2 linked regions of the Drosophila melanogaster genome follow. The protein of the gene in region 1 interacts with the protein of each later gene in a pairwise test. Each region holds a gene or a part of one and is shown in the gene's direction. Other genes may lie near its edges.

Evidence for each region. The genes of interacting proteins can lie anywhere in the genome.
Region 2: the proteins of dmrt99B (region 1) and CG17195 interact in a two-hybrid assay, tested with the Drosophila melanogaster proteins (one large-scale study listed by BioGRID).

The regions. Positions count from the first base shown.
Region 1 is NT_033777.3:29,690,621-29,697,526, forward strand, and holds dmrt99B (doublesex-Mab related 99B), read left to right. Parts: upstream 1-1,970; 5' UTR 1,971-2,186; coding exon 2,187-2,333; intron 2,334-2,417; coding exon 2,418-2,519; intron 2,520-2,805; coding exon 2,806-3,217; intron 3,218-4,932; coding exon 4,933-5,804; 3' UTR 5,805-6,405; downstream 6,406-6,906.
Region 2 is NT_033777.3:25,775,745-25,778,927, reverse strand, and holds CG17195 (uncharacterized protein), read left to right. Parts: upstream 1-1,729; 5' UTR 1,730-1,746; coding exon 1,747-2,598; 3' UTR 2,599-2,652; downstream 2,653-3,183. Other genes in the region: CG4956 (uncharacterized protein), read left to right, coding at 699-1,607; CG17196 (uncharacterized protein), read left to right, coding at 2,722-3,183.

The DNA.
Region 1 (6,906 bases):
GGTGTTCATTTTCCCAAGGAGATATTTTTCATAATATTTTCTATCACATTCTTACCATCTCAACGTGAAATAAATCTCTACACCTTTTTTTAATACCCATGACTATTTTCTCTCTCTGCAGCAACAACAACTAAGTAAGTTGTCATCGCCAGCGCTGCTCAACTAATTTGCATATTTGGTCGCAGTAAAAACACTTTATAAGTGGCCACCCAGGGCAGCAGCCTGCGTGTGTTTGTGTGTAGATGTGAGTGTGTGTACATAGGCGCACTTTAAACAAAGTTAAAATGCGAGAAATTGGCCCTGCGCAAAACACCAGTAGCTCCACGGTAACAGCAGCAGCAGCAGCTTCTGGCCATTTACTGTTGCCAACAACTGTGACCTGCCCAAAAAGACGATGCCAGCGGAACTGGAACTGCCCCCTATTTCCCAGTGTGTGTGTGCGTGTGTGTGTGTGTAGAGGTCCTTAGGCAACTCGCACACAAGCACACGCGCGCAAACACCGACACAGACAGACTGGAAACTTGTTTCTTTTGGTCAACTTGTACAACATTGTTGCCGCTTTATGTTCTTCTATTTCTACAGCGTGTGCGTGAGTCCTATGGCTCCTCCTCTTTTCGTGGGCGGAGTCTCCGCGCGAGAGAGCGAACATCTCTCGGAGAAACGAAGAACGTCAGAGAGAGAGAGAGAGAGGCGCGCGCAGCTGCCTCTTTCGCAGACGCGGCTGTCTCGCTCGCTCAGCACGAGTGCTCAGTTTGTTTCAATTGCAATTATTTTGTAACATTCCAATAGGCCAATAGACCCAACCCACTGGCCAAAAAAAAGTTAAAAATTACCTAACGAAAACTCTCATTCCGACGCAGCGGGATATGCGGCACATTATGTAAAGGACTCTTTATGTAAAATGGGTTTTGTTCTTTTAAATAGATTAAAGTAGCAAATTGATATCACATTGTATATCCTTTTAAACGCTATAAAAGTTAATATACGTTATGATTTTCTGTTAAATACCTATCTTTATGGTTTGTTTCTTGTTTAACATATCATCTCATGTCTATACTTTTATGCAGCTGTAAATAAGTAATTATTATGCCTCTGTTTGTCAATTTTGTTCATGGAGATTTCAACACTTGAGACATTTGAACAGCGGCAGCTGGAAATGAAAAGCAAGTGGCGATGTGCCACAACCTAAGGTAGAAACTTTAGTTTTTCAAAAACAGGGGCCTGGGAATTTTAGATATCCCCCCAAAACCCCTCGAAAAGCAACAACTGCGCTGCCAACTGTGTCAGTTGAGTGTGTTTGTATGTGTGTGTGTGTGTGTTGGCCATGCCAACCAGCGGCGAGGTCGCAACAACAACGCTTTTGGTTGGCTATTCCATTAGCCCAAAAGCCGAGAGCCCCAAGCGCTCACGCACACAGCAAGCCGCTGAGCAGTTGAGCAGCTGAAGAGCGGCATAAAAAATAATTGTGAAACAAAGGCAACAAAGAAAATGAAAGAAACCCCAAACAACCACCAGAACAGCACCACACCACCGAAGCACCACCACCACCACCACCACCACCACTACCATGGCAATTCCCTTTGAGAACCAACCAGTGCGGAGTGCTCTCCCGCCACATTACTCATACGCCGCGTCGCCGCCTCGAGTGCACAATTTTGTATACAGTACCAAATTAGATTTGAAACTTTTTTCTTAATTGCCAACCCTCCGCCGTCGCAGCCGGCGTCGCCGTTGGCGCAGGCAGCGACGCCGACGCAGGCAGCTGCGGCGCACAAAGGTGGTTGCAACACTCTCGGAATCGGGGATATATCCCCTATATCCAGTTTGCATGTACATGCCCACGAGCGTATCCGCGCACTTTCAACCCTCGTCAGCCGCTTTTGTATTGGTAAATGTTGCCGCTTGCCGCCATTGCTGAACGTCCGACGTCGAGCGTCGTGCGCTGCGGCCTTTTGGCCAAAAGTTGAATCAGTTGCAATCGAGGGCTCACTGTGTCATGTCGTTAGCGCGCGTGGATTGAATTCGAGAACTATGCGGATATAAATAGTTAAACAATAAAACAATCAAACTACAAGCTAACAACAAACAATTAAATACTAATCAAATAAGCTAAAGTGAAGTGTGTGCTCAGAAGTTTTTGACCTAACAACTAAATCCACATCGAGGTTTCTGATCTTCACGTCGAAATGAGTCTACCGTCGGGTGTGGACATGCAGAATCTGATGTCCCAGCATCCGGTCTTGGGAGCACTGCCACCTGCTTTCTTCTTGCGAGCCGCCTCGGAACGCTACCAAAGGACGCCCAAGTGCGCCCGCTGCAGGAACCACGGAGTGGTAGGTCCCTCGGTCATATACCATCCGGCATCTGGAGATTTTCTTTACCCACTGGATCCCCTTTCCATTTCGAACCTTTTGCAGGTCAGCGCCTTGAAGGGACACAAACGCTACTGCCGCTGGCGGGATTGCGTCTGCGCCAAATGCACTCTAATCGCGGAACGCCAAAGGGTTATGGCTGCTCAGGTGGGTTTCTACTTTAATATAGAAGGAATTACGTGGAAAGAATTGGAATAAATGTTATAGAATGAAGAAGATTGCTGAATTCATCTATATAGTTCAGTTAAAGAGAACCTATGTATGCTTAAAAGCAGGTTTTTTTTTATAGTATAGCATGGAAATCAAGTACTACTTCAAAATTGCAAAACTCCTCTGTTGACTTCAGTTAAAAATCATAGTAATATTAATGCATCTCCCTGTTACACGCCACTGATCAAAGATCCGCTTTCCGCCCATGCCCTCCTTGTTGCAGGTGGCCCTTCGACGCCAACAGGCCCAAGAAGAGAACGAGGCCCGCGAGCTGGGCCTGCTCTACACTTCGGTTCCTGGCCAGCAGAATGGCAGCGACAGTGCTACGCCCACTCCGCACAGCCCCAACCACAGCGGCAGCGGCGGCTCGGGCAGCGGAGGATCGGGCCAGAACGGCGTCTTCCACGGCGGGATTCCCTCGCCACCCAGCGACGGCTTCGAGGCCAGCTCCACTCCCAATCATCACCAGCAGTCGCAGCAGCAGCAGCAGGCGCACCACCAACAGCACCTTAGCCACCCACACCAGCAGTCCCAGCGGTTCAATGGCAATGAATCCGACACGGATGGACGCACCCGTTCCGAGCACCTCAGCGTCGGTTTCTCGCCCACCAGAACCGAGCTGGATGAGAGTCCTGGTGAGTGAAGTAAAGAATACTGCACACAGCTAACACCGGGAGAATATGTGACTGTGTGACTTGGGAAATGAAGTAACATCAAATATCACAGCACATATCTTATAAATTGAGATCTATTCTAAAACCAAGAAAACAGTTTTCCTTGAAGTTCTTCAAATGTTTACTGCTTATGAAATAGCATTACTTCCATTACACTCCATTTCGAAGGACACACTGACTTATTTTGCGCAGTGCAGCCGCTTAAGAAGCCATTCACGCCTGGCCATCTCAAGAAGAGGTCTTGAGAGTCTTGGGGGAGGGCAGGTTAAAAGCGCGTTAAGAAAAATTTGTTTTCGATTGTTCAGAAATCAGCGGTGCATAAAGTGCCACACTCGCGGTTGCATGTGCATTTGGCTGCGTGTATGCAAGTGGCGAAGTGGTGCTAGTGAGCGGGGCATAGGTGTTGTTTTGACAAAGACTTAGCCAGCCAAGCTGCAGTCGTGCACTTTGCCAAGCGGCGCGTGAAAAGGTCCTGGGGTTGCAGCCAGGCCAGGACATCAAGGGGCGCAAATTGCAACAATCGAGTTAAAGTCCTCGTTAGGAGGAAAACACTTGATTTAACGTGGTGCTCATTTCAGGGAAGGTTTTAAAGGCAAATAACTTGAAATTTCCGACAAAAATGTTCCATTACATCATATAATATCAAATGGCAAACTCTGAAATGCTGGTCGTCTCAAAACACTTGTGTGCTAGAATTTTACTCTTTTTCCCACAAAAAAACCCTCTCAATAGCTGAACAATAAAAGTTATTGTAACATTATCCAACATTATTTGTTATTATCCGAAATAAGCCAATCAATTCCAACCAGATCATCTCAGATTGCCCTGCCATCGCAACTCAAACCACTGGCCCATTAAACGCCAAACAGTTGCAAGTCTGTCGAGAATTTGAAAGGACCTTCGACCCCGCCTGCTTATTAGGACTATCGGCTGTGCAGATGGGGGTTATTACCCATAAGGTAACCCCATGCCAAGGGTTCTGGCAGGCCAGAAACGTGAGATACCCCCCCTGACTCAGCTCACTTGTCTTTATTTGTTTGCCCTTTCGGAGGAAGTGGTTTTTTCCAGCTCGAGAAAGAAAAACACAGCAGGATTCTCACGCGAATCAATCGGGAAAACCTGTCTATTTAAGTACCGGACTCTATTATTTGCCATGAAATCCAAGACGATTTCACGCTTGAATTTTTATTTTCGACTAAAGAGTGCGGCATTCGAGTTGGGTATTGGTATCCACGCACCCTCGACTTAATTAAATTTTTACTGCGGCTTCGTCAACTGCAAAATTAAACAGACTCGCACAAAAATATCATATAGCTTGTTTCATTTGTGGAAAAAAACAGCAGGTTGTCCCTCGTTGGCATGTCAACATCGCATCCTGAACTCCCTGCTCCTTCCACCGCCTTTGTTTGCGATGCCCCTGATTAAATTCCTTCCCATCTCTACACTTGATACTTTTATTTGCTCTAAGCTGCCAAGTGGAAACTGTGCGGTTTTCCACTGGCTACCTGAATCGCTTCGTCGATGGAAATCGATACCTGCGATTTTGGGAAAAACAATTGCTCAATAGGAAGTACACACTCTCGTAGGAGAACTATTACAAGATACTACTCTTAATGCATTTACATATCAACTGGCGACTAATCTGTATATACCTTCATTGTATTCCTTGCTTGCAGTGTCCAAGCGCGGAGCAGCCCTGTCGAACGAGACCGACCAGGACACGGGCTCCGAGTCCGGATCGCCGAGTAGTCCCCGGCCCAAGGTCGCCGGACTGTTCAATCTGACCGCCAGCTTGTCGCCCGCCCGCACTGGACCGCCCAGCTCGCCGGAATCGGATCTGGACGTGGATTCGGCGCCGGATGAGGCCACGCCGGAGAATCTCAGTCTCAAGAAGGAGGACAGCCAGTCGCCGCCCAACACGCCCGCCGAGAATCTTCATCTGCTGCGATCCTTCAGCAGCAGTCATGCCCAGGGCTTCCTGCCATATCACCACACGCAGTTCCTGGCCGCCGCCGGCCTGCCCGCCCACCACCACCCAGCGGCACACTCGCCGCACCACCAGCAGCAGCAACAGCAGCAGCAGCAGCAGCAGAACCACCTGCCACAGCACCACCAGCAACAGCAGCAGCAGCAGCAACAGCAGCAGAGATCGCCCATCGACGTCCTGATGAGGGTGTTCCCCAACCGACGGCGCAGCGATGTGGAGCAGCTGATGCAGCGGTTCCGTGGCGACGTGCTCCAGGCCATGGAGTGCATGCTGGCTGGCGAGGATTTGGGACAGACTCCGCCGCAGGTGCCGCCATCGCCGCCCTTTCCCATGAAGTCCGCCTTCTCCCCGCTGGTGCCGCCCTCGGTTTTCGGCTCCCCCACCCATCGCTACCATCCCTTCATGCAGGCGCACGCCAAGCGATTCCTGACTGCTCCCTACGCCGGAACCGGCTACCTTCCGGGAGTGCTCAGTGCGGCGGATATCGAGCAATCCGAGTCCAACGGAGCGGGCGGCATAGGGTTGGATCGCACCAGCAATGCTGGCGACTCCCAGGATTGAGGCATCGAGGTGGAGGCCAGCGGCGCATCCGTCTTCAGGCCTTTCGAATAAGGTTCCCACCCCTGCTACACTGCGGAAAAATGTGAACACTTTACGAGTCAAGAACACAATTCTTAACTTCAATGAGTTTTAGAGCTCTCGTTTGTTTTTATAATATTTTCAGTCAGCTGAAACCATAGAAGTTTTTCATTGCAGAAAGAACTTTCTTGATTTTTGAGCAACTGTTTCTCGCAGTGCACGTCCCGCAACTAAGTGTAAATTACATTTGCCCTCGACTCTTAGCACAAGTATTGTAACATAGAGACCGTATAAGTAAATAATACGTTTAATGAATTAAAACTTAAGAAAAACCATACACTCGATCCCAGTTATAAGAAGTATTTGTTTAGCTGAAATTAACATTATGACGATGATGAGATTATTGTGTAAGCGATTGTTGATTGCAACCAACTAATTGAGATATCCGTGTGTACCATATGAATATGAGCATATATATAATTATATTAAACATCATATTATGTCTTAGATAAAGTACATTTCAAACACTGTGTTAAAGTATTTAATAAATCTACAAATAATTCAATAAAATAATGAAGAAATTAATTCGATGCTATTTTTTTGTCGGGGAATATTGGTGTTTTTTTTTCCTACATGCATAGATAGATAGATAAGATACATCTTCAGTCTGCAAATGTACTGATGAATGTGCTGAATAGCCCAATTATAGTGTAATTATTTTGATGAATGCATAATGCATTCCAATTAAATCGTTTGGGCCTACGCTAAATGCCTGACTAATCAGATCAATAAATAAGGATATTTAATACAAAACTTCCATTGTTCGGAAATCCCTTAGTCCGGGTCATAGCTGGGTAAATAAACAATTTTCACAGCACGTAATGTATATTCGTGAGAAGTCGACCGGATAACAATGGGCCGCCCACAAGCACCCCAAAGAAATTGAAATACAAATAGGAAACTACTGCGATTATAGAGGCCACCCACGATTCGAAATTCAAAATTCCCAACTGGTCATCACGCGATGGCCAAATAATAATGCGAAGCGTTAATCCGTATCATCATTATCTATTTGCCACTATTT
Region 2 (3,183 bases), 3.9 Mb from region 1:
CCACCCGACCAGGCCACATTCAAAATGCTTAGTTCATATTAATAATTCATAAAAATTTATGCGAAATAGACAACATTCGTTCCTGCGGTCTAAACCTGGCCGACAGCTGCCATTTTGCGGTCGCTGGGCTGATGAAGTCGACTTAACCCAGCTGTTTCCTACATGTATTTGATATGCATTCCTCGTTGTTTTTATTCTGCTCTTTGTTTATACAACATACAGCTGCTGCAAAATACCATATTTTGCCATGCTGATGCCCTTTTTCCCTCCATTGTTTTTTTTATTTCAATTTATTTTCTGCTTATAAGCTTGCTTTATAAGCAAGGTTTTGCCTATACTGCTTTGAAAATGAAGTAAAAATTTGAGAAACTTTTAGGTGAAAACATTCCATAAGCCAAATCTTTTGAATTGTAGAATTCACTTAGAAGCGCCACTTAAATAAAAATTTTCTGCCTTCACAAATGACGCCAGCAATTATAAAACGTAATTTCGCAATAATCCGCTTAAAAAGGAAAAGAAATTGAATTTGAAACCACCCACCAAAGTACACATACATACAATGCCAGATTTTTACAATTCAGTGGGTGATGCGATTATGTCAGTTAGATACATATTTCCAAATCAAGGCAGTTCTGGTGCCCAAAGTCTATTAAAAATAATTTATTTGATAAATTTAACAATACGTCTGTCATTTATAAATGCTTCGATTTCGAGTTTTATTAAGATCTACTTGCGGTTGGAGTAGAAGAATGTGTTTTCGAGCCGAGGAAGGGTTTCATCGTCACTTTCAACTACATCGCATAAAAGTTATGGGCCTACTTCATCCGTTTTGTGCAATATTTTTACTCTGTCTGATTGGATTGCTGTTTGTCTATGAATTATGCTACGTTTTGCCGCAAATAACTGATCCCCATGGTATATGGCACAAATTGTGTTGGTTTATGGGAATTTATACAGTCATCAATATATTGGGCAACTGGTGGCTCGGCTGTATGACCAATACCTCAGTCGATAGCTTAGTTCTGGAAAGACAGTATCCTGTGGCAGGTGAGGCTCACCTGTGGCACTACTGCTCCACATGCCAAAAGCTGGTGCCACCGAGGTCCTGGCACTGTAGTTTGTGCAACATTTGCATTCTGAAGCGGGATCACCACTGCACCTTCTTTGCCAGTTGCATTGGCCATAAAAATCAGAGGTATTTCCTTGCCTTCTTGTTTCACCTGAGCTTTGGCAGCGGACAGGCGCTCGTCTACAATGGCATTTTGAATTGGACAAACAAGGCCTTTTTGGTCGTCGATCCTTTGTTGCTAATGTTCCAGGATACAACCCAAGATGCTGATTTCAAATGGAAGTACACAATCGCCAACCTTTTCAAACTGAATTTATTTCTTTTTGGCGTCCCCCTCTTCATGTTCGTCTTTCAAATGATAATGGTATATCGGAATAGTACATGCTATAAGATGCTCGATCGCAGCTATGATGTTGGTTGGAGAAGAAATTTTGATATGGTCTTGGGAAAACGGCGCTTCTGGATTTTTTTCTCTCCAACGATCTCAAGTCCTCTTCCTACCGATGGCACTCAGTGGTTCCAGAAGCAGACAGTGTAAATTTTGTTTGTAAAAACTTTGAATATAAGATAGCGAATAAATTCTATTATAATATGTCGGGTTGGCGTTTCTTCTTCTGTGATGTAAATGTTTCTATTTAGTCTATAATTTACAACAGAAGTTTTCAAAATCCTAAAAAATGTGCTACGTGAATAGATTTTGCCATTACTTTGCCAATCGCTACCCGAAGAACTTTGTGAGGATAGTGCATCCACTTTCGATAGTTTTCGTCCTGTGCAGCACAGCTTTCTTCTTCTCACTGCAGATGTTTTACATTGCGCCCAAAGTGTTTGGCGACATTGCTTACAAGCTCTACTGGATATTGGTCACCTTCATAACGCACAACATACTTGGTAACATGCTGGCCTGCTATATGACTAGCTCATCGGTAAACACCTTGTCCAAGGACTCCCGATGCCCGAATCCAGAGGATGAGCCCCTGTGGCACTATTGCGAATCGTGTAAAAAGCTGAGATCGCCACGATCCTGGCACTGCGTTTTGTGCAACACCTGCATTTTGAGACGGGACCACCACTGTATATTCACGGGCACTTGCATTGGACACAATAATCAACGCTTTTTCTTCTGGTTCACATTTTATTTAACGCTCGGCTTAGTCACAAGCTTTGCAACATTTTGTATGTTTATCCTGCAGAATGGCGGTAACTTCATGAGTCTCTCGTCTGTGATTTTTAATTTAATAACTAGGACTTTTTTCCAAAATTATACTGGCAATACTTTTGAGACCATTGCCTTCCTCTTGAATATAAGCGCCAGCTATATGCCTGCCTTTATGTTGGCATATCAAATGCAGATTTTAAGCCAAAACTCTACCTACTATAATATTTTTGATTGCACCTACGATCTGGGTTTCCGAAAGAACTGCCAGACAATAATGGGCCAACGAGGACTTTGGACTTTTATATCGCCCTTGCTGAAGAGTCCTTTGCCCCATGACGGTGCACATTGGCAGATGAAGCAGTCTCACTAAATTAATAGACGTATTACTAAATTATTGAAAAATATATATCGATTTTAACAAGCCAATCATAACTTATTTTCATCTAATGTCAAGTTGTGGAAAATACGGTGTTGTATTCAAAATCCTACAATCATGTGTATCGTAAATGATTGGTGCCGCGAATATGCCAATCTCTATCCTAAGAAGGCCGTGAGCATAGGACATCCTTTGTCAGTGATTTTTTTACTGGTGAGCACGGTTTTTTTCTTCACGCTGCAGGTCTTTTATGTGGCCCCCGATGTGCATGATGGTTTTATGTATAAGTTCTTTGTGATATCAGCGATTTTTACAACATACAATATCCTGGGAAACTTGCTGGCCTGCTACCGTACAAGCTCAGCAGTGAAAAGTCTGCCTCAGGAGCGGCAAATTCCGAAACCGGGAACGGAGCACCTGTGGCATTATTGCGATATCTGTCAGAAACTGATGCCTCCACGATCCTGGCACTGTGCACTGTGTAAATGCTGCATTTTGAAGCGAGACCACCACTGCATCTTCGCAGCCACTTGCATCGGACACAATAATCACCGATATTTCTTCTGGCTTACATTCTAT